4 linked regions of the Drosophila melanogaster genome follow. The protein of the gene in region 3 purifies or fractionates together with the protein of the main gene of each other region. This does not show direct contact. Each region holds a gene or a part of one and is shown on either strand. Other genes may lie near its edges.

Evidence for each region.
Region 1: the proteins of Fadd (region 3) and Dredd purify together in Drosophila melanogaster (affinity purification with western blotting; 5 studies listed by BioGRID, with this or other methods). This does not show direct contact.
Region 2: the proteins of Fadd (region 3) and Diap2 purify together in Drosophila melanogaster (affinity purification with western blotting; 3 studies listed by BioGRID). This does not show direct contact.
Region 4: the proteins of Fadd (region 3) and Myd88 purify together in Drosophila melanogaster (affinity purification with western blotting, with the first as the bait; one study listed by BioGRID). This does not show direct contact.

The regions. Positions count from the first base shown.
Region 1 is NC_004354.4:631,524-638,980, reverse strand, and holds Dredd (death related ced-3/Nedd2-like caspase), read left to right. Parts: upstream 1-3,435; 5' UTR 3,436-3,497; coding exon 3,498-3,587; intron 3,588-3,672; exon of another isoform or gene 3,673-3,691; coding exon 3,692-4,435; coding exon of another isoform or gene 4,436-4,456; exon of another isoform or gene 4,457-4,493; coding exon 4,494-4,856; intron 4,857-4,924; coding exon 4,925-5,079; intron 5,080-5,142; coding exon 5,143-5,275; 3' UTR 5,276-5,359; downstream 5,360-7,457. Other genes in the region: su(sable) (suppressor of sable), read right to left, coding at 1-200, 261-534; Mybbp1A (MYB binding protein 1a), read right to left, coding at 5,513-6,937, 6,998-7,457. UniProt on the Drosophila melanogaster protein: Effector of the programmed cell death (PCD) activators rpr, grim and hid. May play an apoptotic role in the germline as well as soma. Fadd interacts with Dredd to promote cleavage of Dredd and is necessary and sufficient for enhancing Dredd-induced apoptosis.
Region 2 is NT_033778.4:15,930,720-15,938,940, forward strand, and holds Diap2 (Death-associated inhibitor of apoptosis 2), read right to left. Parts: upstream 4,107-8,221; 5' UTR 4,079-4,106; intron 3,999-4,078; exon of another isoform or gene 3,862-3,998; 5' UTR 3,852-3,861; coding exon 3,480-3,851; intron 3,101-3,479; coding exon 2,065-3,100; intron 2,002-2,064; coding exon 1,913-2,001; 3' UTR 1,451-1,912; downstream 1-1,450. Other genes in the region: bug (bunker gear), read left to right, coding at 4,177-4,204, 4,262-5,121; Mlf (Myelodysplasia/myeloid leukemia factor), read right to left, coding at 5,741-5,861, 6,960-7,160, 7,728-8,221.
Region 3 is NT_033777.3:22,031,666-22,038,044, forward strand, and holds Fadd (Fas-associated death domain), read left to right. Parts: upstream 1-2,789; 5' UTR 2,790-2,897; coding exon 2,898-3,617; 3' UTR 3,618-3,952; downstream 3,953-6,379. Other genes in the region: CG13409 (uncharacterized protein), read right to left, coding at 1-58; CG6015 (uncharacterized protein), read right to left, coding at 561-1,094, 1,155-1,633, 1,699-2,416; CG45099 (uncharacterized protein), read right to left, coding at 2,417-2,521; pit (pitchoune), read left to right, coding at 4,170-4,350, 4,411-4,632, 4,842-5,528, 5,587-6,212, 6,292-6,379.
Region 4 is NT_033778.4:9,300,933-9,311,792, reverse strand, and holds Myd88 (Myd88), read left to right. Parts: upstream 1-3,070; 5' UTR 3,071-3,998; coding exon 3,999-4,524; intron 4,525-6,036; coding exon 6,037-6,326; intron 6,327-6,390; coding exon 6,391-6,559; intron 6,560-6,632; coding exon 6,633-6,819; intron 6,820-7,457; coding exon 7,458-7,899; 3' UTR 7,900-8,970; downstream 8,971-10,860.

The sequences.
Region 1 (7,457 bases), on a different chromosome or scaffold from region 3:
TTCTTTCTTGCGTTTCCTTCGCCTGCTGCTGCGAGTTGACTGAAGAAGGGGATTGGCGGTAGCCAGTCCCTCCCCGGATCCCTCCAAAGACTGATCGCTCGTATCCTGGTTAGACGAACGCATGCGGGGCATTGGGGGCTCTATGCCCTTCTTCTTGAGGGCATTGGCAATCGCCAACTCAATGCTGCTAGCATGGTCATCTAGGGAATACATCCAGATTAAACAAGAAGAATCAATGAAACAACTGAATGAGCTTTCACCTTCTAATGGGCGAGGCTTTTTTGACTTGGTGCTGTTGCTGTTTTGGAGGCAAACGGCATCTGTCGATGGTCCCACGTAAACGACATCTTCGTCGTCATTTTGGTTCTTAGCCTCGACACCCACAAACTGCACATCGTCGTCCCCTACGAAAGTCTTCTTTTGGACTTGGATTTTTGAAGATTGCTGCTCGTCCTCCTCATCGTCGTCGATCTCGCCGTCCTCTAAATCCTCCTCCAAGTCAATTAAGGGTTCATCCGCTAAAGCGACAGACATTATCGATTTGGCAGCTAATCTCTCACAGGATGAGATTGGAATAATTGGTGCCCTTAAAAAAAGTGGCCTCCCTCTTCTGTTGCTGCACTCTTAAGTGTTTGGTATTTGGAAAAGCTGTTGATAAGGGATCGGATTTTGAATACCATATATGGATGCATAAATATGTTTTAAGGTCAAATTCCCAATCTAATCATATATAAGGACGTCTTATAATTTGTCTTAACGTCCAATTACAATATAAAATGGTATCTTAAAATAAAGCAACTGCTAGTATTAACTAAAAAGGTGGAATGTACCATAATACGCTTCTAAGTGAATAAAAACGAATTAATAAATGTAGTTTAATGCCCCTTATTCTTTTTTTCCAAAATCATTCGGGGATTATTTGAATCACCCCATTGGCGGTCAAAATTTTGAACACAAATGAAAGGAATTGGTTAACACTAAAATCAAGCGTTGCTTGAATAAATGCTACATTAATGTTTTTGAGGTAAATACAATATAAAATGGCTGGTATCACAAATGACTACGGATTCAGAAGGCACGTCCAAGTACTAGCGACAGAAACTATTGACTTAAGATAGACCACCCGGATCATACGATCCTGATGCATTCAGTCAGAGTCACTTTGTAGCGTGGGCAGCATGGCTGCGATGAATGTTTTGGGCACCCTTCCTTATCTCAGCACTCGGAAAGTTTGAGCACTTTTCGCTGACAATGGTTGGATTGCTCTTTGTTGGTTGGTTTAAGTGGGATCGGATCGCTTAGGTTTAGCCTGGCACTTAGCTAGTTCCAAAGTGCAGCAACAAAATAATAAGCAAATCAGTTTGATGAATTAAAGGGTATGGGTCCTGGACATGCTTCCAGTATAAAATAAAAGTGATCAACAAAGTTGCGCTAGCACATTTGTTGTGTGGAGAGAACGAGAAAGGAAAATACACTTTTTACAATTGGCTTAACATAAAGATTCAGTTATACGTAGTTTTGGACAGCGAAACAAATTCCAGAATCCGAAAAGCGAAAGTCGAAAGCAACGGAGTGGCTTTCCATTGAGCCTAGGAACAATGGGGAAGTCGTAGGCGTTTGCCTTTATTATTGTGCGTAAGCGGAGTGAACCGTTATGAGCCACACGCGCATATGTACATGTGTATGTAAATGCTCGTAGCATTGTACATATGGCGCGGATGCGTGTATATATTTGGATGTAGCTGATGGACGGAATCATTGCGATTGATGAAAATAACAAAATCCAATGCGTCTCACACACGTGCATATAGAGCGCGTGTTTAGTTCTGACTCGCGATTGCCAAGCATGTCGACTCGCTCGCACACTCATGATCTAAGCAGGGCATACACACACACAGCCGAGGCGTGCAGTGCGAGTGCGCGTGTGTGTGTCGACTGCGAGGCAAAATGTTTTTGTCTTTGTTTATACATACATACATATATTTTACAGCGACTTCAAAGCGAATTTGAATATAATTGTTACACTTGAGGTGAAAGTTTTTGTTTGGTTTTCGGTACGATTTGTTTGAATGCTCTGTAAATGGAAGGCGTTCATGCGTGTGGCTTCCCTGCTGCGCAGTTTCCACTTGCATATGTACGTACATACGAACAGCAAAAGAAAAGCACGCAATTTATCTTTTTGTTTGGCTGGCGTTCCAAAATCAAGTGTATGCAATTTAAAAAATTTGCACCATCTGTCCCTTTCTAGCACCCACGTACGTGGGCGTGGGGAGACATGGCCCCGAGAAACATACATACATACATGCATACGCACACATGCATATGCATTGAAGTACATACAAAAATCTGGGAACTACTTATGCCATACAAACATTTCATTTGTTCGATCTTACTCTCTTAGCGTGACTGCTTTATGCTTTTTTGTGGAACATTAACAACTTTTCGGTATTTGTTATAACATTGCTGTTCGGTTTTCGGTTTATAGATGGGATTTTGTTGGTTCGTTGTTTTGCATTTCGCATTTTGCTTTTCGGATTTTCTGCTTTAGTGTTTTGTTTGCGTCGCTGCTTACATAATGTGGAAGTGGTACAGTAGGTGGATAAATATATACATATATATAGAGGCATACATGTATGGGATATAGCAGTGGCCTCACATAGATGTGTATATACATGCATATGTATATATATGTTTGACATACATCTGACTTATACGTATTTGATGACGAAGTGGTTGTGAGGTACATAGATAGGTACGAGACAAATCGTCGAATTTTTCGCCAGTTTTCGTAAATCGAATAGCGGCTTTAGTTTTTTCTTCTGATACTATATGTATGTACAGATTTATATATATGTGCGTGAGGCAAGCGCGCGCTCTCGCTCGCACCCGCTTGTAGCTTGCTTTCGCCCTCTTTCTCTGCCTGAGGGCCCCGTATCTCAGTATCTGTCCCTTTCTCTCTGTCTGTCTCTGTTACGCTCATGGACAGAATACAATATACAAAAACATTAAATTAATAAAACTTTTCGTCCAAAACATAATATTCAGGAGTTGTGTTGTTAACAGTTCAACAGATCGACTTAAACGAACTAGAGGTGTGGAAACATAAAAATACCAGTACATCGATATTTTTCGCAAAGAACATATCGTCGTGTTGGATGATATTAGTTAATCGATGTTTTTACCTAGTATATTTGGTATTTCCCCAAAAACCGTGAACGCAAGCTTACTTTTAAAGCTAAAGGCTCGCTGGCTGCGACATTTTTAAATATTAACCGATTGTTGAACCGGTTGTTAAACTTCTATATCAAAAAACTACATCATCTGTTTCTTAAGTATAATTAATAGGTAGCACCCCGATCTTTCGCTATTGCAGAAAACATATCCATTTATCGATATCGATCGGTGGAAGCTCTTCAGGCCACGGCTATCGGATGTCAGCGAGTGCAATTTATCGGCCATTTCCTAAAGTGAAACATTTTTGTATATTCCCGATCGCCATGGCCGGATCAAACCTGTTGATTCATCTAGACACCATCGATCAGAACGATCTGATCTACGTGGAACGTGACATGAACTTTGCCCAAAAGGTATGGCACCTCCCTGGGAGGACTTTTCGAATATGACTCAAATGTTTTACACATCCGCTAGACCAAAGTGTTAATTAAACAGTAGAACCTTCGTTTTCTTCTAGGTGGGCCTCTGCTTTCTGCTTTATGGCGACGACCACTCGGATGCCACCTACATTCTGCAGAAACTTTTGGCCATGACACGATCAGACTTCCCGCAAAGTGATCTACTCATAAAGTTCGCCAAGTCCCGGCCAGAAACCTGGAGAAGACATCTCGTGGAGGCCCTGTGCATTATTGGGGCCCGCAAGGTGCTCCGGAGACTGGGTTTCTGCTGGCAGGAGCTGCGAATGCACTACTTGCCGCATATCGCTGGGATCACGCTGCATGTCCATCCTCTGTTGAAGAGCCTCTACAGGATGTGTGAGGAGTTGTCGTTGGTGCAGAGTGGCCGCTTGCTCCTAGATGTTCGCGAAAAGGTGGAGAGCCAGCAGGCAGGAGATCCACTTCGCTTCTACGATCCCGCGTACCTGGAGATCTTTTTGCTGGACTGGCTGACCAGAAGGAGCATAAAGTTAGGGGACATAAATGCCGCAGGCAGCGATGTTCAGCTGCTGGTCGGCCATTTGAAGTCCAACGGTCTGCAGGCGCAAGCAAATTTGCTCAAAGACACCATCATTAGTAACGCTCCGGAGCCAGATGCGGCTGGCACTGCTGCGATGGCAGTCAAGCAAGAGATTGAATCGGATAACCAGCAGTCGTACTGTTCCACACAAATAGATGCTCTTAAGTTGACCCGGGAGAACGCAGGAATCGCCTTGATTATCAACCAGCAGAAGTTTCACCGGAATGTTAGCAGGGATAATATGGTTTCATCTCTGCAATATTGAGTAACAAAAAGAAGTACAACATTGCCCTTCTCCACAGAAATTTCTGTCGCCCGACCCACTGCGTAGACGGGATGGCACGGATGTGGATAAAGAACGACTAATCGAGGTGTTTTCCTCGATGGGATACAATGTGGAGGCGTACGACAACGTGGATCACATGGGCATCATAGAGCGCATTCGCAGTGCGTGCGATAGATCGCTCGTGCGCGATTCCCTAGTGGTCTTCATCCTGAGCCACGGCTTCGAGGAGGCCGTCTACGCATCCAACAGCATCGCCATGAAGATCACGGATATCGAGGACTTGCTCTGCAGCTACGACACCCTGTACTACAAACCGAAGTTGCTAATCATACAAGCCTGCCAGGAGAAGCTTGTCCATAAAAAGAAGCCAAATGAGCTCGTAAGGAGATTTATAAGCATGAAGTCGTCGAATGGGAAAGCCTATACATTTTCGTATTCCTCTTTCAGTTTAGGATAGACGTGACCACCGTGTCGCCGGACCAGCACATCGACATGCTGCGGGCCATGTCCACGGTAAATGGATATGCTGCTCTGCGCCACACCCAAACAGGTAGCTGGTTTATCGGGAGCCTGTGCGATGCCATCGATCGCCGTTCCGCCAGGTAAAAAGCTGCCAAAGCAAGCTAGCCCCGAATTAATGCATAAGTTGTTCTTTGTTACTTTAGTGAACACATCGCCGATATCCTGACGATTGTCACCAACGAAGTGTCTAAAAAGCGAGGCAGTAATGACGAGTCCATGGTGCCGAATGTTAAAAGCACATTTCGCCAGCACGTGTACTTTCCACCTCGTCTGTGATTTTGGTTTTTAACGTTAGCGCAGTTGTACGTCCACTCAAATTGCTCTATAAAGGTAAAAATACATTTTTATAAAGTTTAGTGTACTTTTGCTATTTTTTCAATGACTTCAATACTAATTTAGTACTTTTCGTCAGAATTTTTTAAAGAACAAAAAAATTAATAGTATCCTATATTATGCAAGATATTTATACATCTAATTGTAAGGTTTCTTATTGGGGTGTTTCCTTCTTTTACGTTATGTGGACTCTTCATCTTCCACGACCATAGGTTTGGCGGCTGCCTGCTTCTTCTGCTTCGCCACCTTCTTGTTGGGTTGAAGATCCTTGGCGACGAGCTGAATTTGTTCACGCAGTTTCTGCCACTTCTCGCCTCCTTGGGCGAGGATCTTAAGCAGCAGATTGAGTTCCTTGGAACTGCTAGCCTTCGTTTCTAGCTGATTTACATATCTGGCTATCTGCTTCTCAAATTTCTTGGAAGACGAGTTGTTGTCCTTGAAAGCGACTTCGAGCCGGCGACCTTGCTCGCTGAGCAGCTTCAGTATCTGTGCCCGCCGAAAACTGCGTGTTTTCTGTACGTCCAAGTGAGAGGCCAGGACAACGGCCAGCGGAGCAACTCCCTGCCATTGGCCAGACTGAAAGAGGGCTTCGAAACTGGCCAGAGAGAGGCGACTACGTCGCTTGGCTACCCACAGCTCCAGGAATTCGACTAGAAGGGGCCAGACGGCACTTTTCTTGGGCTCGCCATCTGCTGATGCCTGGCTGACCAGGTAAGCGAAGCACCTGTCCCGCCAAATAATGATGTCTCTTTTGGCCTGTCGGCTGGCGGGCTGCTTGCCGTTCTCTTGGTCCTCTTCTGAATGCTCCTCGCCAGACGACATCAGCTGCTCAATGGCTTCCAGAATGGGTGCGGTGCTCTGATTTTCCTTGAGTTCGATATTCCTAGCGAGTATCTTTTTGAGCAACTTCAAACTGGCTTCTCGCAAGGATTGTAGTTTGCTGTCTGCGGCGCAATGGCTGTACACCTGGAACACGCAATGTAGCACGTCCAGGATTACCGATTGAGTTGGTTTCTTGGTTATGAAGAGCTCCAACAAATCCAAGGCACGAATGCGGAAGTGCAGCAGGTTGGTGCTATCAATGCGTTCCGATTTGGTGGGACGCTCCTTCTCCTGGGCTTTGCGCGACTTGGGTCGGAACATCTGAAAAGACCGCTCCAAAGCAGCATTCAAGCGTTCGCCCTGCTCCTCGTCCACATCGTTCCAATCCACGCTGCTGGCGCCATCGTCATCAGCGTCGCCATCGTTGACCAAAGCCTGGCGAACGCTCTCTCGAATTTGGGCCAAATGGGACTCTGCATCGTCCTCGCCCTCGTCCTCCTCTTCATCTTCATCTTCATCTTCTGAATCATCGCTTGAATCCTTCAACGATTCTTCCTTGTCGAGTTCGTCATCGCTCTCCTCCTCGCCATCGCTCTTTTTGCTCAGGGGATTTTTGTTCATGTTGAGCACTTCGAGGACCTGTTCTAGGTTACCGTGCTCAAGGTGCGGAATCAAAGCGGTGGCCACCAGTTGAACAAACTCCCGCCAGAAGTGACCTGTTTGCAAAAGTAACTGGAGTAGGGCATCTGTAAGCACGTCCTGCCATTTGAGCTCTTCGTTAACCTAGAGCAAACCAGTTATTTTAGATTTAGGATGACATTGAAGTATAGGTTCTCTACTTACTTGCTCCTTGCTCTTTTGCAGTGCATTCTTACGGCAGATAATCAGATCTTCCAACACGGTGATGGATGGGGGAATCTTTGTGCACAAAGCCAAAGAAACAAACAGGATAAGAGCCTCGAATGATTGGCCAACGACATCGGATTCCTTGCTGGGCCGCTCCAGCAGTTTCTCGACCTGCTTCCATGCCTTTTGCAGTGATTCGTCTCTCGGCGAACGCAATTTGCTCTCCGCATCCGGTTGTCCCAACTCTTTGTTAAGGTAACTCAATGTCTTCTGCAGCAACTGGCAAAGTCCTGGCAGACCCGAGCACTTGTGCAGCAGGGAGCCCAGGAATATCTCCTCACAACGCGCCGCGCACTGGCGACTAAAAGCGCTGGCTTGGGCAGCTTCACACGGCTTCTTACTGGCATCTAAGTGGAAAAGGCCAGCGAGCAACAAGTAGTTCAACTGTTTCTGTCGC
Region 2 (8,221 bases), on a different chromosome or scaffold from region 3:
AAACATCAAACGTTGAGATCGGCACGTTTTATGCAATTTCTTCGTAGACAGATAAGTGCTGCAAGTACGGGGTGCGGCATTCGCATTCGATCCCCCTCCTTTTGGGACTTGCATATGAGTAATGCAGTCAATAAAGTGCCCACCGCGTGTAACTGCGCCTCCAATTGAGTTCAATATTTAAGGGAAGCACTGGGTCAATTGCTAAACAAACGTTGTGTACGGATACATACATATATGGATATAGAAATTCTGAACACATTCGCAGTCCAGATAGCGGGAATTCGTTATTTGTTTATTTTTGCATTCTCCTCTGGCAGGCGGAAGAAAGAGAAAGAGAACGGTAAAAAGCCCGCCCTGCTTTTGTTTTTCTTTTTTTTATGCGCTGTTGAAATTGTATGTATTTGCAAAACATTGCCAACACACACCATCACGCATACATACAGGTTATCCAGAGTTTTAAATGAATAATCATTCCGAATAAAAAATAAACGCTGATTGGGCTTTTGCGGTTCGCTGGGGAATACCTTAATGGGTGGATTGGTCATTCTCTTTAGAAGGGAATGGTAAGGGGTGGGGGGACAGCCCACAGCTGTTTCCAGCGACTGACCCGAATGGAAAATGTGAGAAATGGTATCAAGCCAAGCGCGTATGCGCAGCACGCTCGACAACCGAAATTACGGTGTGTACTTGTGAGATTGAGATTTTCAGATACGTGTCGCGCTCTCTCTCCCCTCCCTCCCTCTTACAATCTAGATAAGCAACGCTCGCTGAACGTGTGTGTGCGTGCGTCGCTTTGTTTCTCACCGTACGAAAAAGTGTTTTTCGAAGAAGATTCCAAAATGGAAAGGTAGCGGACTGTAAGGGTTTTCTGGTGTAGCGGGGGGATATGGCCACTGCTTGCCACACCACACTATAAAGAGCATAAAGCGCCCACACTCCGTAAAATGCAGCAGCAACACCAGACACACACACACACACTTGAACTCTTCCTTTGAAATACTCGCAGAATATACTCACACGAGCGCGCGTTTGGTAATTTCGATTTCACACATAAAATTCCCCGTAGCTTCGGTTCGGTTCTTCTAAATTTTGTTCACTATCTTCTGCACTTCTTGGCGTTGGAGCTTGTTAGTTTTTCGCGACCAGAACTCAATGGAGCTCCCTTACGAGCAGCGCACACGACTTCACGCGGAGAGCTGAAAACGATTGCTTGGATACCAATATTTTGGTACTTTTGAGTAGAGCCGTCAAAACATCGATGCTACTATCGATAGTATCGAACCGTGCATGGCGATGATATCGAGATAGTTGTGAGCAGTGGAATCAGACTGTTGCAAGCTAATAGGCTAATCTCTCGGGGCACATCACTTGAAGACCGTTGGGATTTAAAACTTAGCAAAATAAATAAATTATTTTAAAGAATTTTTGCAATTGAAAAGACAAATTTTTTAACATTTACATATACATTTATTGGAGAATGCATATAGTTGTGTGTAAACCATACTATCAGCGGCCTATAAACATGATCAACAAAAATACATACATGTGTTAATAAGAGTACTATAACAAGAAATCCATGTGATCTGCGGTCGTGCCGGTGCATTGATACCCTTTTCAGCGCGAATTAGAGCTGCTCATCTATATAAGGTCATTTCAGCGTGCATAATGTATGGTTCAAAAGGGATGCGCTCGGACACAATGCGATAGTTAGTAACGACAACTTACAACCGTAGCTAATGTAAAAACGAATAGCTGCAGTTGGCCAAGTACTTAGTAGACGATTAGTAGACGATTATATTAGCTAATCACCGGATAATTTGAACTTCGCTGTAGTAGTTTGTGTGGGTGCAATCAATCGATTTGCTTAACTGCTAACTAGGCTGGTGAACTCTAAATGATGTCGATATGCACTTCACGAAAGGAACGTGCGCACGAATCCCTTGATGTCTGCGCGGCACATGGGACAATTGGCTACACTGGGGGCGCACTGATTGCAGGTGGCTGTCGGGTTAACAGGAAGTTAGCTACAGCTCAAGGCAATCAAGGTATAGTTCAGCGACTTACCCAAGTGGCCACAGGGCAGGAACACTACGCCAACCTCCTCGTCCAAGCATACCTTGCATAAGCGTGCATCCTTTAGCTGGCGGTTTTCCTCCTCCAGCGATAGGTTTCCGTTCGGCGTGGCCACCGACATCTTTTGTATTTCGTCTGTGATTTTCGATATATTCGCCACTGCTTCAGCTGCCTGTGGTTTGGCTGGGATGGAATCGGCCACCGGTATTGGCACAGATGCTGCCTTGCTGGTGGTGGCCTGACATGGTTCAATAAAAGGAGCACTTGGCTCCGGCGGCTCGCGCACCTCCAGTGCAGCTCCTGCGCCCGCATCGTCAAAGATGTCATGCAATAGTTCGTCCAACGTAGAGAAAGCGCAGCCGGAACTCAAGAGCTTGCGCTGGATGGCATTGCGCACAACTCCTCCATCGATACCCAAGGCTAGGGCCTCCTTGGCCGGAGCTTCATCCATCAGTACGTCTGCTTGGAGCGTTGGAGCCGGAGCAGTTGCTGGCTGGGAACTGGCGTTGGCAGCTGTTGTCGCGAGCACTTCGCTTACATAGGCTGGACCCTTGGCCAGCAAAACGAACTGACACTTTGGCGACCACTTGGCGTGTTCGAACCACGGCTCGTCCTCCTTCTGCCAGGAGCGCAATCCAATGTTGCAGTGGAAACAGCGCACCTGGTCGCCTATTTTCTGATAATATAGGCCAGCCTGCGCCAAAGCCGAAGCGGGCTGAATATTGGAAATGGGCCAATCGGTGAAGGTTCTCAATCTGGCGTCCACGCAGGCGTACTTGGGACGCAGTGGCAGAGTGGTGGGCTGGATGCCCAGCTCATCCAGGTTCTTCCCGGTGGCAAACTCTATAAGGGGGCCCATTTGCACACGAGGACATTGGGGAAAAAAGCGCTTGTGCTCTTCAAAGGCATTGTCGTTCTTCTCCCACTTGGCAATCACTCCGTTGCACCAAACACACTTCACGTGATCCAGACGGTTCAGGTAGTAGAAACCTGCCTTTGCCAGAGCCTGCGGCGTGATGTTGGGATTCTACAAAGGAAGACGTTTTGGGCTAAAGTTAAACTATCTTATTCAGTCATTAAAAATATTTGAAATTATACAGTATACAATAACTTCATTTGAAGTTCATAATGATTTTTGTATATCTTAATTAAAGCTTAATTTCGTAGGATTATCAATCAACATTCAGCTGAATTGAGGCAGCTAACAAGACATTTCTTGTTTGTATACAAAAATATCATTGATACTTTCGACCGGGATTTTCCTGGCCTCATTTACGCTACTTTTTAACTACGCAATCATACTTACATATGCACTTATAGTGAGCTTGAAACTGAAACTATAGTGATTACAATGACCCGCTATGGTGAATCACCAGAAGCGAGCGACACCAGCTCAGGGTACTCACCGGCCAGTCCTTGAAAGTTACCAAGCGATTGGCCTCCAACAAGAGATCGGGACAAGAGCAGGACTCCGGGCTGTCCACTACGCTGTTTCCCTCGTTGTCGCTCTCCTGGCTCCTGGGAACATTGCCGCAGTGATTGGGAGCCAGAACCATGGAGCAGATGGGCGAGGAGCGGCGATGGCGCTCCGCCACTTGATCGCCGTATTCCCAGCGGTCGATGCGCACGTGGCAGAAATGGCACTCGGCCTCCAGCCAGTTTCCCGTGGCAAAGAAACCATTGGCGACCAGATCCTCCGCGGAAACTGGGGCATTCAGGGGCCATTCCCCAAATGTCGCCAGGCGAACGCTCTCCAGCTCCATGCCCAGCTCCGTCATCGTGGCGCTTCTAAATTGGATCCGAATGGATCCACCAATGATGTAATGCCACCAAGGGAATCACCAGCGAGCGCAGACGAAAATGAAAATAAGGTAAGGTAAAAATATAAACTTATTGTAGCGATGTAAAAATAAGCATCGATGTTTTTCGATACATCGTCAATGTTTCATCGATGAAATACCAACTTAATGGGCACTGCTTACAAAAACAAGGTCAAGCAGTTTACCTTGCTATTCGGTATATCCAAACCTAAGAAGTTTCCAGGTATTTCACGAGTGCCATATAACAGCCAACTATTTCAACAGCTGTCCAACCAACGATATAATGAACCAAAATCTCTTGTTTGTATTTTGTACGTTATTTATTTATATCGAGTTCTTCAATCAGTAACATTATACCACTTCCACAGTGCTCTGCGCCGCGCAGGGCCAGGCGGAACTCTCCGGATTACTAAGTGCCCTCCAGTATTTCGGGCTCTTCTCAAATTTGACGGTGTATTCCCTGGGAGTTTCGCGGGGCCAGTGCCATTATAGCTTCGAAACCTTGCTGAAGGAGCGACACACATGTGCCCCGGATGACGAGCACATCATGCACCTAAACCAGCTGCCTCCGGTTCGAAAGCCACCTATTATGATGAAGTGCCTGCAGCGGGATATCGAGAATGAGACAGCATCCGAGCCGGAACTGCTGATAATGCGCAGTGCCAAGGATATAGTGAATCTGCTTAAGCCCATGGGCAATGCCACCAAGCGCCACGAGCCGGGCAACTGTGTACTTGTCCATTTCTGCACCGCATCCAGCTTGGAGTGCGCTCGTGTGGCTTCGATGGTCAACGTGCTGCCCCATTACTTTCCCACGCTACCCATCGCCTATGTGGATGCCTATGAGTTTGGTCGTTTCAATGCAGAATTCGGCATCGTTTCGCTGCCCACACTGATGCTATTCCACCAGGGCAGGCCGCTAATCAAATTCGAGCCCGGGTGGAAGGACACAAAGAGCAGCTTTGCCAGTTTCATAATGAGTCACACCAATATGAAGACTGTGAATCCGCAGGCCATTGATCCGATCATCCTCACTCGCGCAGAGATGGAGCCGCTGTCTAATAAACCCATTGTGCAGACGGATTACTATTTGGGCCTGGCTTGGGCCTTTATTCTCGTCTGCCTTGCCAACTTCCTGCGTAAGACGGCGCTCTGGAAGCAGCTGGTAGAGATGGTGCAGCGCATTTGGCGGGAATCCGAGGAGACGCAAATGGAGATGGTGGACTAGTTAGTTAATACGTTTAATTCTCTATAAGTCGCATAAGTAGAACACTGGATTTACTATTATAATGTAATTACCATTTAATTAAATTCACGTTAACATTTACTTAGGCCTTACGAATTACATGTATTTGGGGAATTGGTAATTGTTGTTTTCTATCGTTCGGAGCCTTCAAATCAATTGTGTTCATTTGCACGCTAACTGGCATCCATAATTTAAAGCTTAGTGGCTAACAAAATCTAAAAACTTGAGAATTAATCAAATAATTCAAACTTATAATTACGATTTCATATATATTCCATTACTTTCATTGAATTTTTCGATTAGGTCTGAGAGTGTGTGTTGTAATGATTTCGGCGTTGAATAGTCACATTTGTTTTAAGTAAATTTAAGCAAGTTGTTCTGTATCCTGCGTGCACATCAATAGCATCTTGAAGTTGTACATTTTTTAGTGTTGCATTCTGGTCGACTCACGCAGGATAAGACAGAACTGGTAAAGAATTGTGTTTGTTAAAAAATATTTGAATTGGTTTTCCTGCTATGGAACAGAACCCAACGCTTTGCTTCCTAGTGTTTTTGAGTGTGCGATGCGGAAGATGTTGGCATACAGATGATCACGTTTCTACTACTTCTTCTTGCCGCGCTTGACCGCCTTGTAGGAGCTGGCCGCTTCGTCCTCCGTGTGAAAATGTTTTACGGCACGTTGTTGGCGCCTCGGATTGGCGGCATAGGGATGTGGATGTATGCTGCTGGCGGAGCAGAAACAAATGTTCATTAATTAACAGAAACGATTAATTAGAATAAGGCACAATACAAAACAAAAGGTATACATAATAATCATTCGTACACAGGCCAATTCGAACGCAAGTGAAAATTTATTAACAGGAAGAGAAGGTCAAAGGGAGCATTAATGGATGATGTGGGCAAGCGAGTGATGGATTCGTAGGATTCGCGCATTATGTCGTTCAGTGGTGGCGCAGCAACAGCAGCAGCAACATAGTTCAAATTTTGATTATCGTCGATGGCCAATTGGGCGTCGCGTAGTGTGGTGGTATATCGTCGAGTGTGGCTCTCGCAGATTGCGGTCTACATGCTATACGGATAGGCAGGCGATGCTCTTTCGGGCGGGTCAAAATGCGAGTATGCAGACAGAGAGTTAGATGTGTATGGGAAGGTGCGGCCTTACACGTAGCTTGCGGCCATAGTCTTGAGCTGCCGGCACGGCACGTAGATGTGGTGTTGCTGCTGTTCGAAGTTCGAAGTACTTGTGGCGATGAAGCGGAGCTGAGCTGAGCGGATCGTAGCGTTGGTGGCGCCTTCGGTTAGTAGAGTGCATGTAGTTACGTCGAAGACAGCCGAATGTCGAGTGTTTCTCGTTGTTGACTTTATTACTTATGATATTTATCTGGATTAGCATAGGTTTCATTTTATGTATTTGGTACTGTATCCGCTCTACTTGCGGTGGTACCGCGAATTATAAATACGCCAATCTCTGCATGATTTGGAAAGTACAAAATGTTGATGGAGAAGAGAAGAGAGAGCGATATGTCGTTAATACACTTGGGTAAATGGTATATTAGAAGATCAAGATCGTTGCTACCCATGAAGTCGAGTTCGAAAAGAATAAGCAGTATTGGTTTCAATAAATCATTAACGTTGTTGTTACAAAAGCGTTGTCAACCATTTGTCGGACCACAAAACCCCGGCATCAAACTTCGGCTGTCCGAAGACGTTTTTCGGTTAGGACTATACAAGCAGATAGAAATGAGGTTCGAAGCTGACATAGTCTATGTAACTAGGTTAATCCCGTATTGCCGGCTCCTGCCGATCCCAACTGAACAAACCTTGGAGAAGTGGACACCGTAGCCAGCGGCGAGGATGGGGGTGTCCTTAGTGGGCGGCGCGGCGTGGCCAGGCTATGCCCATGCCCATTTCGCAGGTACGAACGACGAGAGCTCACGTAGTTATTGTTGTTTCCGTTGCTTGTATCGTAGGTTGTTGGCGAGGATGTTGGTGTTGGTGCTGCTGCTGTTGCAATGTTGCCACTGCGTCGATGTCGTAGGTAGTTGTCGTAGTATGGAATCGAGTCGAAGAAAAGTTGAAAAAGATTACAACAATACTTTTGGGGGTCTGGGACTATGCTAGTTGGCGATCCAGTTCATTCAACGCGAAGCATTTGTACGTCGTGAGTGGGTGAGAGATCATGGCGAACGAAATAAGTCGTGGGCAAAACGAAAACTGAACAAACGAAAGATGTTGAGAGCTTAAGTTGCCGCCTACCTCTGTGCATTCTATGATTTCGATTCGATATTCGTTTCGTTTGAACGCAGTTGGGAATGTAATTAGCAGAAATTTATAGTATGCAATTCTGTTTCTGTTTTATCGGATAGTTAGTAAAATATACTGTATTGACTTTAGATTTAGTAATTATATCTGCAAGTAAATACAAACGTTTCAATTTAGCAACAGTTGTGTGAGGAGGAGGTGTGGTTAGTTGGGGGAATCTTCGGATCGGGCGGGCTTCAGCAAATGCTAGTCGGCTAATCCTACACAATCACGCGCACGGAACAGGGATTCGGGTGTAGATGTGACGTTAATCCCTTCTCACTCACCTGTTCTGCGGTGCCGTTGGCGCACTGGAATAATGGCGGCCCGCGGAGGAGCGAACCGGTTGCTGCTCCTGGATTACACAGTCATCATCATCGTCGTCGTCGTCCTCCACTGGCTCAATGGTCAACGTCGAGGTGTGTGCCGCTGGACGGGCGGGCATGATGGCCTGCATGCCACCAGCATGATGTCTTGACTGCACCGCTCCGCGACTAGCGCGCGATGTAAACTCCCTGTCAAACTGCTCGGCTTCTCCCTCCTCCAGATTAATGAACTCCTGGCGCTCCTCCAGTTGTCCTGAGCGCATGTCCTGCTCTTTCTCAATAATGTGTGCCCGCTCGCCGATGTGATGACCAATGGCCATCTTCTTCACCCCAGTGCGCGAGTCCTGCACCGTCCTGCGGGTCTCACGAACGCCTCCCGGTCCTGTTTTGGTACTAGTGCTGGCCTGGTAGATCTGAGGACGCCCATCGGGACCCGATGACATGGTCATCACGGT
Region 3 (6,379 bases):
GCAGCTGGTAGGCGTAGCCCAGGCCAGAGGCATCCGCATCCGAGTGGGGCTTGGCCATGGCCGCTGGCAGGAATTACGGGTGTCTAGCTGATGCTCGGTGTCCACCTAGCCGTCGCCTTTTACTGCATCTCCTCTACGCCGTAGAACTCTTTTTTTTTCGCGTTTTTTTTACAGATTATTGACAAGTCTTCCACAATCCGTCCGACGTTTGTGCGACTTTCGTGGAAAATATCGATTTTGGCCAGCACTACTCGCATATGTTTTGACTTGCCAGTGGGGGTGGCTGGGCCATTGGGTGGTGGGCCGACCATCCGTCGAGTTGTTTGCCATTTCACATGCACTGCGCATGCGTACTCTTATCACAACTGAAGGTAAATAAAAGCCAATCTCGCAAAGGGGGGAGGGAATATCAAGCAACCGGATGGATAAATAACTTAGGAATTGGGCTTGATACACATGAATTAAATGAGCTCAATTGGAACATAATGGGTAAGCAATATAATCAATCAATTTACACATCAGTTTGGCTTACATCTATCTATGTTATTTTGTGCGGACCATTAGTCCCAGTATTTTATCTGGCCATCCCAGCCAGCGGTGACCACTTTGCTGGCCTCATGCGGATGCCAGAGGGCACTGATGCAGACGCCGTCGTGCGCCTGCCACTTCTTGTACATCTTCGTCGTCTTCCAGTCCCAAATATAACATTTGCCATCGCCATCGCCCGACACCAGATAGCTCATGTCCGGCGAAAAGTCCAGCTGGCAGGCGTAGCCAGAGACCATGTGACCGGTGAAGGTCTTTTTGCGGTTCATCTTGAAGCGATTGAGGGCGGAGAAGATGACGATCTTGTTGTCTAACGACTGGCAGGCCATCCATTTGCCATTGGGCGCCAATGTGACCGCCGGCATGGAATGCATAGTGGGGTCGGCAATGTACTTCATGTCCACAGGAATGTCCCACTCCCATATGCGCATCGATTTGTCGTCCGAGGTGGTCACAAACCGTCGGTTGTCGTCCACAAAGGTGATGGTGCTCACAGATCCCAAGTGCCGGTCGTATTCCTGTACAATATCACCGCTGCGAGTGTCCCACTGCGAATTGATAGGAAAACAATTGTAACATGAGCATCTACTTTTGTAAATTTTACTTACACAAATGATCTTCTTGTCGGAGGTGCCGGCAACGAACAAATGTTGCTTGCTATTATCCGGATGGAATTTCACACAGAAAGGCATTTTACGCGTTGTGAATCGGGACACTACATCGCCCGTTTCGGCATCCCACAACTTTATGTAGCGATCATACGAGGCAGACAGGAAGTTGGTACCCCTGTTGTTCCACGCAATATCCTTGATGGCCTGCCGGTGACCGGAGAAGGTGCGTATGCAGCGTCGCTCGCCGTAAACCTCCCACAGTTTGACGCGACAGTCCATCGATCCGGAGAGCAGAAGATGAGCGGTCTTGGGGAACCAGCGGATGGAGGAGATGCCCTTGTTGTGGCCCGACCAGGTGTGTATGTGCGCCTTGGGCAGAAAGCATTTGGTCGGTGGTGCATTCGATCGTAGATTCACGCCCAGATCATGAGGAGCATGCAAATAAGAGCGGCCCTGATAGTCGTACGCATCCTTGACTGTGGAGCAAAAAAGGAAAAGATTATTAACGATATATATTCGGTGGCTATTGGATTAAACTCACTGTGCAGCGTCGACTTCTCCTCGAGCGGCTTATCCTCGGGAATGCGTCCGCGCTTATGTCGCTTAGACAGCAGCTCGTCCAGTTCGGCGCGCTCCTGTTCATTTGGCTTTGCCACCGACACCTCGTTTTCGAACTTGCCCCAGGGACCCAGAAAGCCCTCAATGTCCTCGGGATTATCATTTTTCTCCTGCTTGCGCAGTTTCTTTGCCTTGGGCGGCTCAAATACCGTCTTGCCATTGTCATCGTACGCAGACTGCAGGTCACCCACAAAAGACTGGCCGTCCGCCTGATCGTCTACGCTGGGGTCCAATGCGTAGCCGTAGGTGTGAAAGGTGCGTCGCTGGTTCTCAAATTCGAAGGCATTGATGTGGGCCTTCTCTACGTAGCCGGCTAGGGTGTTCCGCGGAGCGCGCTGCTGCATGGTGAGGTCCGGATGCTCCGGACCTTTTACCGGAGCATACATCTCCTCATAGCGCGGATTGTAGGTTACCTCCTTGAGCGTGGGATCCAGAGTTCGGGGCACGGCCGATGCTCCAAGGGGAACCACCGTTGGCGCCGCACAAACAGCAATGGACTTGGATAGCGAGTGTGTCTTGTCCACGGGCAGCAGGTGATCCGGAATGGGAGCGGAGGGCTCTGAATTCGTGGTGGCTGTGGCGGCGTCCGCATGGTCCGATTCTTCATCCGAGGAACTGGCGTATGACTGAAGGCCCAACATTTAGAGGCTGCGGACGAACTCTGTGTACTTGTTAACGAAATGCTGAAGGTAAATCAAGACCAGAGTGTAGAGGAGGAATACGAAAACGTTAATGGATATTTCCATTCGTCTACACGTTTGCGTTTATCATTAGTTGCTTCAGTAAAAGTAACAAAAACATAAATATATATCTATCAAAACTAGGGATGGTGCGTGCCATCTGTTATCGATGTTATCGAATGGCTATGTAACGGTCTCACTAATAGATCCCAAACATGCAAGGTGGTGCAAGTTTAAAGCTTATTTTAAATTTTTTAAGTTGTATGGAAATAGTATTTGATATTTTTTTGCTCATTTTGCTCAAACACCTATTCAGTGCTGATCGATAACAGGTAAGGAAATGTTTGGCCATACGGTCATACTACATCAGGGAGTGAAGTTGCGTTGATACATTTTGGGAACTTAAGACCGCTGAAAATACCGTCTCTGTAAATTAGTCACAATGACTGCAGGCAGGCACTGGAGCTACGACAGCCTCAAACAAATCGCCATTGATGGATGCACCGAGAACGTGGAGCAGTTGAAACTAATTTTTGTCGAAGAGATTGGTTCGCGACGCAGATCGGATTGCATACGAACCATCGAGGATTTAATTGACTGCCTGGAACGAGCGGACGAACTATCGGAGTACAATGTGGAGCCACTGCGCCGGATATCAGGCAATATGCCACAGCTCATCGAGGCTCTGAGCGCCTACACAAAGCCGGAAAACATTCTTGGACATCCGGTTAATCTGTACCAGGAACTCCGATTGGCCGAGGAACTTCGTCAGCAGCTCCGTATTGCTCCAGCTTCCCAGAATGCTCAGCCATCAGTTTCGGAATTAGCTGCCGCTGTGCCTCCAACAGCAATCCAAAACTATGCCACCCCAGCTGCTTTTACGGATCACAAACGAACGATGGTCTTTAAGAAAATATCCGAGGAACTGGGTCGCTATTGGCGACGACTGGGCCGATCGGCGGGCATTGGCGAGGGCCAAATGGACACAATCGAGGAGCGCTACCCGCACGACTTGAAGTCCCAGATTCTGCGACTGCTGCAGCTCATCGAAGAGGATGATTGCCACGATCCCAAGCACTTTCTGCTTCGTCTGTGTCGCGCCCTGGGCGATTGTGGTCGCAATGATCTGCGCAAGAGGGTGGAGCAGATAATGTCGCACTAGAACGCATTCACTTATATGCACTTTATATGCATTTTGTTACGATACTAGTAATTAATGTGCTGGAGAGCGACAAAGATGTGCCTTTATTGTAATTATTCACATGTTATTCCAAGGTTGGACAGAGCATAAAAATCGCACACTAAATTAATATGTGTCAACGCGGAATTGTACGATCTTATAAGAAAATGTGATTGACGTATTCCATTCAAAATGGGAATTCACATTTCCTTATCATAAGATAGTCTACAAAAAATATTGTTAACTCGTAATACACAAGTCACATAGTTGAAGATAGCAATGTACAATGGATATAAAATACGTTTTGCAAACGCTTTTGCTTCTCTTATCCTCAAAAGACGGTTGAAAATTTGTTTACAAATAGGGTCACACCTTTTGCATTGAACTATCGAATTGGCAATTATCGATAGGCACAGCTGGCTGAATATCGTTTGCTTCGGGGTGAATGGTTAGCAACACGTGCGCGCAATATTTTATTTGAGAATTCTGTTTTTAACCATTAAACTCTATTAAAAAGCATACATAGTTAGCAATATGTCTATTCGGGAGAAGCTGCTGATGAAGAAGATCGTTAAGCGGGAGAAGATGAAGAAGGAGCTCTCGCAGAAGAAGGGAAACAAGAACGCCCAAAAGCAGGAGCCACCCAAACAAAATGGCAATAAACCCAGTAAAAAACCGGAGAAACTCAGTAAAAAGCATGTGGCCAAGGATGAGGGTACGATTAAAAACGTGTGTGCCTAATAAATATATGTAAGATTCACTTTTCGACCCGCAGATGACGACTTAGAGGAGGATTTCCAGGAGGCGCCGCTGCCCAAGAAGAAGCAACAAAAACAGCCTCCAAAAAAGCAACAAATTCAGGTGGCCAACTCGGATTCGGAATCAGATGACGATGAGCAGGAGGATGAGGCAGATGAGGATAGCGATTTGGACGAAGTAGCCGAAGTTGATGAGGAGGATGTTGACAGCGGGAGTGAAGATGATGACCAGCAGGAAGGTAAGTAAAAGTGTCGATATTTAGGGAATTCGTTCTAACTACCAATAATAATGATGATTTTTAAAGGCGAATTTGAGCAGCTCTGGTGCAGCGAGTTAATGTTGCCCAGGGCAGGCATGAAATCCATTTAAAAACCAACTGAATTATATAAAATACTAAAAAACTGTATCCCTGTGAAAACCAAAATTAACCAAGAGTACCTGTTTCAGATGAAGATGAAGAAGAACCTGTGCCAGCCAAGAAAACGAAGTTGCTTCCCAACAAGTCCAAGGCACAGAATGGCAAACCAGCTAAAGACGACGAGCCCTTTACCGTGGAATCCTCACTGGCTGCACTGGATTACCGAGATTCGGATGATCGCAGCTTTGCCTCTTTAAAGGGCGCCGTGTCCGAGGCCACATTGCGAGCCATTAAGGAGATGGGTTTTACCGAGATGACTGAAATTCAGTCGAAATCGCTGACACCCCTACTAAAGGGACGGGATCTGGTGGGTGCTGCCCAGACGGGTTCCGGCAAAACCCTGGCCTTCCTGATACCCGCCGTCGAGCTGATAAACAAGCTGAGGTTTATGCCACGCAATGGTACCGGCGTGATCATCATCTCACCTACCCGAGAGTTGTCCATGCAAACTTTCGGTGTGCTCAAAGAGCTGATGGCACACCACCATCACACTTATGGCTTGGTAATGGGCGGCTCCAATCGGCAGGTGGAGAGCGAGAAGTTGGGCAAGGGCATCAACATTCTGGTGGCCACACCGGGTCGTCTGCTGGATCATTTACAAAACTCGCCCGACTTTCTGTACAAGAACCTTCAGTGCCTGATTATCGATGAAGTGGATCGAATTCTGGAGATCGGTTTTGAGGAGGAGCTTAAGCAAATAATAAATCTGCTGCCAAGTGAGTTACGGGTAACTAAAGGTTTTTAGTGTATTTTTAAACTAACCTAATCTTTTAGAACGCCGCCAGACGATGCTCTTCTCGGCCACACAGACGGCTCGCATCGAAGCGCTTTCCAAGCTGGCCCTTAAGTCGGAACCAATTTATGTAGGGGTTCACGACAACCAGGACACGGCGACCGTAGATGGACTCGAGCAGGGGTACATTGTTTGCCCCTCGGAGAAGCGACTGCTCGTGCTCTTCACGTTCCTCAAAAAGAATCGTAAGAAGAAGGTGATGGTGTTCTTCTCGTCCTGCATGTCCGTCAAATACCACCACGAGCTCTTCAACTACATTGATCTGCCAGTGACCTCCATCCACGGTAAACAAAAGCAAACGAAACGAACGACCACCTTCTTCCAGTTCTGCAACGCGGAATCTGGGATTCTCTTATGTACGGATGTGGCTGCTCGTGGATTGGACATTCCGCAAGTCGATTGGATTGTGCAGTACGATCCTCCAGATGATCCACGCGAGTATATTCACAGGGTGGGCCGAACGGCCAGAGGATCGGGCACCTCGGGTCACGCCCTCCTTCTGATGCGACCGGAGGAGCTGGGCTTCCTGCGCTACCTTAAGGCCGCCAAGGTGCCGCTCAATGAGTTCGAGTTCTCCTGGCAGAAGATAGCTGATATTCAACTGCAGGTGGGTGCTCTTTCTTTGAGTTAAAATTGTTAGCTATGGTTTAAGGTGATTTAATTCGTATGTTTCTTATCCACTGCAGCTGGAGAAACTGATCGCCAAGAACTATTTCCTAAACCAGTCGGCCAAGGAAGCCTTTAAGTCGTATGTGCGCGCATACGATTCGCATC
Region 4 (10,860 bases), on a different chromosome or scaffold from region 3:
GACGCCAAACGGAAGGAGCAATTAAAAGGTTTCGATTGTTCAGTTGATTAGCGAAATGGTTTCAATTTTTCTTCAGCCAAGCTTTTCCTTTGGTTTTCCCACCCGACAAATACCCTCCTGAATGGCGTCGACAGGCAGCTGTCGAAGAAAAAGAGGAGAAAAGTTGGTCAATAGTTACGTCTGAAACTAAGTTGTTAACTGAAAAAGTACTCCTAAGTAAATGTTAATAGCAATAAACAACCGAAAGTTTTTGTATCTCTTAGACGTTGAAGATGTTGAAGCGGAGTTGGAAGAAAAGCGCAAGCATAAGTATCAAGTATTCCACGATAGATTTTGAGTAAAACTACAATTCATAGGTTAACAATAATTGTAAAGGAGCAAGGAAACATTCAATAGAATTACTCGAACTTCGAAGTCAACTTGTGCCAATGAAAAAAGCCTACAAAATCCTAATGAGAACCTGCAATAAATGTGGCGTAGCGTAACTTAATAAACAATTAAATAACAAATGCGCGGAGAAGTTAGATATTTAGCGGATCGATGTGAAACTGTTACTTAAGTGCAAAACGAGCTTGTTGTCGAATTAATTTTTAAACGGATTAAACTAAGTGAATCTAAGCTAAATGTTAAATGTTTTTTTAGGTGTTCAATGTTACAATTATTTGTGGTCGAGCATCCGACGAGGAAGAATTGATTGCCCAGCCTTCACCAAATGAATAAGTTTATAAACCTGTGCTAACTCAGTTGCAAGTCAAACGACAAATTTAGCTTGAAGCAAACTTCTATCGGTTTCAGCCAACAGAGCGTTGCAGGCTTGAAAGCAAAGTTGAGAACGAACTTCCCTGACCGCCCATCTTTTAGCCCAGTTACCAATTAGCCGGATATGTATTTATCAACCTAAATGTTTCCCAATACTCGCCAGCCCGATTGCACAAAGGTAATTTAATAGGTTTTTGGTCTCTGGCGTTAAATTAATGTGAGATTCAAAGATACTTTGTAGCCACAAAACAAATTTACATGCATAAACATCACATGAAAACAAAGAGAAAAATAACAAAGTGCATGATTTTAGGAAATATCTTAAAAACAAACAAATTTTTGTTTTTCCATTCAAAACTGATACGGTTAACTCTTAACTAAAAACTGGCTAAATTATTTGCAATAAATATCTGATTTAAGAGCACATGTTTCAGGTAAATTACGTGATTTTATAGTTGGACAGTTTCAGCTTTTCCTTACAATTAGTTTTCTCTGTATACGAATTTATTTGTTTTTAAGCCATTTGGCGAGCAGGGAAGCGGAATTTCAATGGCGGGCAGGGCGAAAACAAATGGAAAGCTTTAAATTAGCTCAATAAATTGTAAACTTAAACATTTAATCTACTTAGAGCGGGTCGTTGTTAAATGCAATGCAAGTACATCTGGGACAAAGAATCACACACCTCATTCAGATTTGTAAGATACGCATTTTGGCCCAGAAAGCCATTCGAATTTGACCACAAATACACACAGGCTAAAACAGAGGCTAAAATAATCAAATTTGTCGCCAGGCAGTCACAAAGGATATTTAGTATATACAATCAAACAACAATATACTTAGTAATTGCATTTAACACATGGGGCAGAGCATATCCACTAGGTTTGCAAAATTGATTTAACTGCATGCTTAAACTAACGAAAGTAAAAAGGAGATTAACTGAATGAAGGAGGTAGGGGAGACCTAATTAAAAGAACACAACTAATGTCTATATTTATGGCTAGCTAAGTGTAAAAATGTAAGCTGAATTATTATACAAACAACTACAATCGAAGCAAGTAAATTGATGTAATTGAAATACTCGAAACGTTCTAGGGCGAAATACCAATGAATATTGAATAATGACACAGGTTAAACACAAACACGCAGCAAGCATAAATTAATGAATAACGAAATTATTTCTCGAGAAAAAAATCAAACTTTTTAGCCTTTGAACGAGAGACTTTTGGTGCCCAATCCAGTTTGAGCAATTATTTACAAGTGAAAAATGAACGAAATACAAAGAAAGACACACAAACCACACCACACACAGGCAGATGTATTGTAAATAGAGCCACAAACAAACCAAATGAGTAAATACCAAGTAGGTACATTAATAACTAATGATGGGGCTTATCCGAGTAAATCAACATTAAATAAATTAACAACGGAATTCAAACAAAAGCAGGTAACTTCAACTTCAACTTGTGTGCAAGGCATCAACTTTTACTGTTAATTGTTGCTGGCAATGCAAAACGCAACGCCGACCGAAAAACGAAAACTACAAAAATAAACCATGAAAAAGCAAAACAAATATATTTAAAATACATTTGAACGCCTTCAGCGTTTTATTCATCAAGCAAAGCAAGAAATGTTGAATCGAAAGAAAAAGTCAAACAAAGCCATAAAAGCGATAAATCAATTTGTGTCACCTGTGTAGTAAGTATATCTCAGTATTTGTAACTGAAAATGAAAAGCGTTGAGGTGCAGGCATCAACCACACAAAGAACAAACAAAATCAAATGAAAATAAACTGAATTTACAAGTGCTCTCTGACTATTATTTACGAGAGTGTGGTCCTTGGTTGGCATGTTCATTTCCCCACATTATCGTCTCAAATCAGTTGATTTCGGGGAAGCAATATTTCTCGGTAAAATGAGTAAGTATGTCTTGGACAGGTCGAAATGTAAAATATTCCTTTTTGAGGCACCATTAAAGGTACCATTCTCTGCATAACTGAAAGGAGTTAGATTGCCTACATCAGCCGGTCGAATAGGAGAGTGCGTTTTTACTCACTTTACTACTCTTCTTGCTTTTGCACTAGCAAGAAATCATTATCAATTATGCTTATGAATAATTAGGAATCCTACGGCAAGAACCAACGTTCCTAAATTATATTTAACCAACCGGAAATTAAGTCAACCACTCTTAGAGCGCCATCTGGTGAATGCTTTTGGAACCTATTAAAGTGTGGCCCGCGCACCAAAAATACCGCAACCGATAACTGGCCCCGATAAAGTACCAAACCTCGCCGATGACTGGCCACCCGAAAAGCTGTGACTCGCCAAGCTTTTGCCCATCGATCGCCACGAGCTTATCGGAATCGCGATCTGATCTGAAAAGTGGGAACGCAGCGCAGATAAATTAATTAGCAATTAGCCAGTGCAAACAGAGTGTTGTCAGCCGACTAGAAAAAGCAGCTGAGCTGATAGTTCCGCCTGTGGCCCCCGCGCTTTCGCCCTGCATCGGAACGAAACCAAAATAAACAAGCGAGTGAAAGGCGGTGGAGAAAGAGCGCGGGAGAGTGAGCGCGAAGAGTAGTCCGTTGGGGAGGAGGCGGAGGAGGAGCGGACAACGAGGCAGAAACAAAAGCACAAACGGCGGACAGAACCAGTCGAAACAAAACAACAAACCGGAGCGGACGCACTCGAAAAAAGCGAAACGAATTTATTTCTGTGCTTAGGGCGACACTGTGTGCGTGCGCCACTGATTGTGAGTGTGTGTGTTGTGTATATTTAAACAATATTCAAAAAATCATACGCCAGACGAATAAAAAACGCGACGAAAACGAAGGCGAAGATCTCCATCTCCTCTCGCAGCGGAGCAGACAGATAAATAAAAACAGAATCCGAGACAGCAACAACAACGCGACTGTGACGCGGCAAGGTGCTGGAGGTCACTCGGTCCATTTCGCACCGCACTGAAGTATAGAAGTTTAGCAGTAAAGCACCACCCCCTTCTAACCAGTTTCAGCTTCATCCGCCCGCAAAAAACAAAAAAAAAACAAGCACGCGCGATCGGAAAACTCGAAAAAATCTACAGAGCAGCACAACTCACGCGCTTCATCGTTTTATTGCTCGCCGCCCTCTCGACTGATAAACGTCAGTTGATAAATATATATCGCATCACATCGCATCCACACTAAAACAAATACGCCAGCAAACAAACACCAATTATTCCAATAAAGCCAGCGCCAAGTGCGAATGCGCCCTCGATTTGTATGCCATCAGCAGCACTCGGTGGCCCATTCCCACTACCAGCCCCACTCCCACTTCCATCACCATACCCACCGCCATCCCAATCCGCCCCATCACCATCACATTTACGGCGCCACTGACGTCAGTTATCGGCGTTATCGCACCGCTGGCATGGTGGTGGCCGAGGGAGTTATGGACTCCGGGTCGGGATCGGGCACGGGAACGGGCTTGGGGCACTTCAACGAGACCCCATTATCCGCACTGGGCATCGAGACCCGCACCCAGCTGTCCCGCATGCTGAACCGCAAGAAGGTGCTGCGATCCGAGGAGGGCTACCAGCGGGACTGGCGCGGCATCTCGGAGCTGGCCAAGCAGAAGGGATTCGTCGACGAGAACGCCAACAATCCCATGGATCTGGTGCTGATCAGCTGGAGCCAGCGGAGTCCCCAGACCGCCAAGGTGGGCCATCTGGAACACTTCCTGGGCATTATCGATCGGTGGGACGTCTGCGACGATATCCAGGAGAATCTGGGTAGGCATTAACTATTTTTTACTTATGGTAGTCGCTATCTATCTATAACTAAACTATGTCACTTGAGTTTTGAGTATCATTTGTTTTAGATTAGCTTTTAAATGATGGTCTGACGATTCGACTTTTACTTCAAAATGCCATCGTGACAGTGAAAATTTAGTTAAACGTCTAGACTAACTATGTATGTTTGACTGTTCTCGAGTTTGCGAAGTTGAAGAGGAATTTTAAATAATGTACTTATCAAATGATATGTACACAAATGTTGGAAATCGGAAAATGAACCATTAAATTTTACTTTAATGGCGAGCCACACTTATCAATTATTTTTGGCTGATCCATTTTTGGTTTTATGACCGGAAAAGCCGTTTCGAGTTTATAAAAATGGACGTGGTAATCTATATAATATAGGGAGTATATGCAGAAAGCGTACATATTTAACTTATCTATCGCACATTTATCTAAGTCAAACAAAGCTTATCGTCGGATACATAAAACTATTGAGTTATGATGAGTAGATACGTAATGACAGAAATAAAAGTCACCCACTTTCCCATGATTAATTTGTGTTTATTTCTATTTATTGTCAAATAAAACGCTTCGACTTACAAGATTTTTATTACCACATCCCGACAAATTGAAAAACACACAGCCATAAAGAAAAAATTCAAAACAATAATTTCTAAAAGCCGCAAACAACAGAACTTAAACTATAGAAAATGCCAATCAGTTAAGAACGAAATTTTCTTATTTATTTGCACAATGGGGATTCACCCAGCAAAAACTGTTGTCATTAATAAAAAACCTCGAACAGTCAATTTTGTTTAGGAGCAGATGTTGTATAGATATATTCGTTGTGACCAAAATGGTTCGATTTAAAAACAAATGAACGCACTCGGAAGTTGAATGCTTAAGGTATAAAAAAGCACACATAATTAAAATCGTATTAGGAATTTTTCAAAGGAAATGTTTGAATTCCTTTTCTAATGATCTTTCATTGGGTGTTTTAGAAATATTCCAATAAAACTAAAAATAACTAAAAAAGTAAATTTTTTATAAATGTGTCGTTGATGATAACTGCTTGAATCTAGAATTCACTACCTCTTACTAGAATGATCTTTTCTGCTGACAATATATTTGGAATAAAAAGATGGGGAGACAATGGCAGACATCTGAATGGATATATGCATACACTTATCTATTCATACATAATATTGAGTTACAAATCATAAATACTACCAATTTGTTATGAAAGCTTCATATATTAGCGACTGTGTGCAGAAACTCAGATAAACTTCACTATGCCATTCCTTTAAGCTCATTATATATCAACAAAGGGTTATATTTATTATTTAATAAACATAATTTAAGTAATTTGATTTTGACATTAACATGTATAAATTGTGTTGTTTACTTTACGAATGATGTGTTAAGAAAACTTTTTGTGCGGCCTTGTAGTTTTTAGCAATCATAATCCCTTTAGTAAAACTGTTTTAATTTTGCTCTCCTCAAAAGCCAAGGACACCCAGCGCTTCATCATGAAACAGGAGCAGCGACAGACTGCTCTCGTGGAGGCGTGTCCGCCGCCCCCCAGCGACTGCTTCGAGACCAACAACAACTACAGCAGCAGCAACAACATCACAGTGGGCCAAAGTGTGCAGATCCTCAGCGACGAGGACCAGAGATGTGTACAGATGGGCCAACCGCTGCCCAGATACAACGCATGTGTTCTGTACGCGGAGGCAGACATCGATCATGCCACCGAGATCATGAATAATCTAGAGTCTGAGCGATACAATCTCAGGGTGAGTGGGATGCGCTCGGTTGCTGTGTGTTGTATTAAATAACCATGGGATCGTTCTATTGCAGCTATTCCTGCGCCACCGCGACATGCTAATGGGCGTTCCGTTCGAGCATGTCCAGCTATCCCATTTCATGGCCACCCGCTGCAATCACCTGATCGTCGTGCTCACAGAGGAGTTTCTTCGGAGTCCGGAGAACACGTACCTCGTGAACTTCACCCAAAAGATCCAGATTGGTGAGTAGCTGATACGCATTTGTATCGCAGAGCCAGAGTCGCATTACAAGTTCAACGATCTGACTTTCCCCAGAGAATCACACTCGCAAGATCATACCGATTCTGTACAAAACGGACATGCACATACCCCAGACCCTGGGCATTTACACGCACATCAAGTACGCCGGGGACTCCAAGTTGTTCAACTTCTGGGACAAGTTGGCTCGTTCCCTACACGATCTGGATGCCTTTTCGATCTACTCCACGCGCCAGGTGCAGACGTAAGTGTTGCTACTTCCTGCGATATATGTATATGTATGTGTTCCAAAAATACTTGATACATTTTTAGGGGTATAAAATCTCAAGATAATGTAGATTGCTAGCCAACAGATAAATGAGGTTTGCAAACTGAATACGAATACATGAAGTAGTCTAGTCATCCCAATTTAAGAAGCTGTTTTAGAATACATTTTATTAGCTTAAGTTTTTGATTTTACTGTTCAATTATTGCTACTGCTGGTTGTAGGGGCTGCGAAATCGTTTCACAACATTCACATAAAATGTGCAAATGTATACCAACTGCTTGTAAACAAAATATATAAGCAAATATCACATGGCGTACGAGCGATCAACCTTAGAACAGCCTAGCAGGTATTTTTATTTAGTTTTGCTAAATTCAAAGAAGATACGTTTGTTTCAGAAAGATGAACTCATACGACTTTTAAAGTGCCCAGGAAGTAATACACTGCATATGAGTAATCAAATTTGAAACAAATTTATAAACAGGAAATAAATGTATTATATATCTGGGCGTAAGATTATATTGAAGCGAAATTAGTTTTGCTGTTAATTGTAAAACATGTTGGAATTTTATCACTCATATCATAAATTTGGCATTCTCTAAAATTTCTTTATGCAGTCCCTCGCCGGTGGAGGAATCGGCTCCCCGGGTGACCACTCCCAGCATTCGGATTCAGATCAACGACAAGGATGTCACTGATATGCCAAACTACAACAGCTGCAAAGTGCCGGAGGCGGAGACCACAATCGTTTCGGTTTCCGGTGACACCGGCTCACCCCTGCCGGAGCACAAGCCGAAGAAAAAGGATCGCTTCCTGCGCAGAATCACGCACAGCTTTGGAAAGACGGCGCGGAGCGATGGGGCCAGCGGCAAGACTCTGCGTCATGCCCACTCCGTCAGCACCATAAATGTCACGGAACGCGAGAGGACACTCAGTGCCAGCAGCTCCAACATCTCCACCACGTCGGAGAGCAAGAAGAGCTTCATCAAGTGGCAGCCGAACATCCTGAAGAAGGCCCTATTCTCGCGATCCAGCAGCAAGCTGCAGACGCCGGGCTGAGATCATAGTGTTAGGATAGCCATTCATTCGATTTCTCGATTCTTTGATTCCTTGTCGTGTGCCCAGTCTAGTTGTGGCCGCCCAGTCACCAATGTCGTCACCCTCCATGCCTAGTGATAATCTTTAGCCTAATCCTTATCAAGTCAACTAACTTAATATACTTAGACGCACTTGTTAACTTATATAAGACAACAACGAATAAAGACAATACCACATATCCGCACAAATGTATCACAAAAGCACACAGACTACCAAATACGACACGATATTGCTATATGCTCTATGTATATGACTCTGGACTTGATAAACAGACAAATTGGCAATTGCGTTGAGTGAGGTTAAATACGCGACACTGCTAATCGAAGTGCTCAATTAACTGTTAGTCACGCGTTCGATAAGTGACTTACTTAATTTAATTATCTCGCGCGCCGTTCTCGCAACTCAGACCCCATCTGAGAATGAGTAATGAGCATATATAACGCATACGTACATATGGCTGCATTGTGCGAGCAGTGCTTTATCATTTTGTAAACTGCTCAAGCCGTTTTAGACGATTGCTAGCAATAAGTAAACTGTTTGTTCTCGGTACCGCCATCGGCTGGTTGCCTCATGTGATTAGCTCTAGCCTAGCTGTTACCGATTGTTACTGATTGCTGTGAATGCGTGCCCATATGCCTGATGTGCACCTAAGCACACTCACTTGTTATAAAGCAAAGACTATCAATACGTCATCCATCATCACATCGTCTCTTTCAATGTATCTAGAGTCTATATAGTATTATATGTATCTCCGGACAGTGCGTTTCAAAACCATATAGAGTCGATCGACAACCATATATTATGTCCAACTTTTGTCAAGCGACAACGAATGTGGATAAAACGCAATATACATATGTTCCTCAATGTCGGGCATCGAACGCTCGAACTTCGACCTTCGCGACACGTGGCACTTGGCGGTCATGGTTATGAAACGCACTGTATCCATATCGGAAATAAGCTAGCTCCAGTTGAGCGGCAATAAACTGTTCAATGTTTGGCTCAATAATTTATTGTTGAATGTAGACAACCTTTAGTTCGTTCATGTTTAATAAACATTGCAGTTGATGTGTGAATCCCCGTATATGTATTTACATACAGTTGTTCGCGTACATATTGAGTGGAAATGTTTATCGACCAGTTCCGGTTAATCTACAAGACAGTTCGAATCGGTTTAAATTTTTTGTATTTTTTTTGTTTTATTTATTTTCGTTTTTTTATTGTTTAAATCGTTTAATGTTTTAATAATAGCTCCTCGCTCACATTCCTCACTTTATCGCAACCTGCGTTAATTTCGCTCTCTGTGTGTTACAATTTACACTGTGAACAAATATGTTTTTTTTTTAGCCTTACTGCTCCTTGCGACTTGAGCTTGTTCTTTAAACTTTGTTTTTTTTTTTTTGTCTTGTTTTGTTTTGTTTCGTTTCGTTACTTTTAATTGAATTTATGTTTTTGGGTTTTGTTTGGTTGCTTCTCTGCTCAATGTGTTTTGGTTTTTATGTGAGTGTGTGTATTTATAAATCGATTTATATATGTTATTAATTTTATCTGTCGTTTGTTATCCGCTTAGCTTGGTTTTCCTTTGTTAGAGTTATTTTAATGATTTCATTATCGTTTAACAAAATTAATAAAAACAGTTTGTAATTTGTTTGTTCTTTGTTGTATGTATATGTTAATTGATCAATTTATCGTAATTCGCATATTAAAACAATGTAACGCATGATGTTGCATCTTCTGCCTCGACTCGCGCTCTATGAGTATTATTTGCAAATTGTTTCGTAGCTTAATTAATGCCTTCTGGGGATGTCTTACATTCGTGTTGACTTGTTATTCATCTTATAAATCTAACTGATTGCATTTACACAGAGTGTGTGACGACGAGTCTGAGTGGAGGGGCAGGGAAGGAAAGGGAAGGGTCAGAAAGGGGCGGGGCAGGTTGGGTCAGGATCGTGATGTGGAACTGGAACTGGAACAGAACCTATAGGTTATTACTAACTCAACCGCAACCAAGGTTCGTGTATGTAAGTGTGTGTTTGTTCGTTTAAAGCGTTATCCTCTATAGTTAAGTGTTAACAATGATTATGATTATGGAAGTCAGCTGAAGAAGTCTGTATCGGTTTTGAAGTTGAGTTACCATCATATTGCGAGTTCCCGTCTTATAACTATGTTATGCATAGGTATTTCCGTTCTACCTTCCTCTCCTCAACCTCTATAACTCGACTCCCCTCCCTCGTACTCCGTCCTTTAATCATACATACATACACATGGAGATATATTCATCATCGAGTTTTGGGTCGCTTGTCGTTCTCGACTTACTAATAAATTAAAACAACGCTAATGAATTTTTTTTTCGTCTCGCTAATTGTGAGTTCTCGTTTAACGTTCTTCTTCATCGCCTGCTCCGCTCTCCACTAACTTTTCATTTATTATCGTTATCAATCAATTATCAATTTCAATTTTCATTTATACATACTAGGTTTTCATTTAATCTTTTTTCGCTTCAATGCTTTAGTTTTGTGCCTTGGACAAATGTCTGTTAAAAGTCGCTTTCTTATTCCACTTCTCGATTCCGTTTTACATTTAAGTTAGTTTTGGTTAGATGGGAGTACAGTGTTGGCTGATCTCAGCATAAGGTCTTAGGATCTAATTGCGCAGCGGAAGTTTCTAAATCGAATGCACACAGATCTAATCCAGGACACAGTGACTAGCAACGTAGACCAGCTACGTTTGCAATGGACTACCTATGACGACCCTTTCTGAATAGCAATCCCAAGTGGGAGATGCCTTAACAATAAGAACTCAAGTCTGCAGTAAAAACAAGTCTAAGTGACATTAACAAAACAAGTCGAACAATGATGTTATAATAATTTTCAAATATCAACTATAAAGTATAAACTAGGAGCATAATATATTCAAACAATTCAG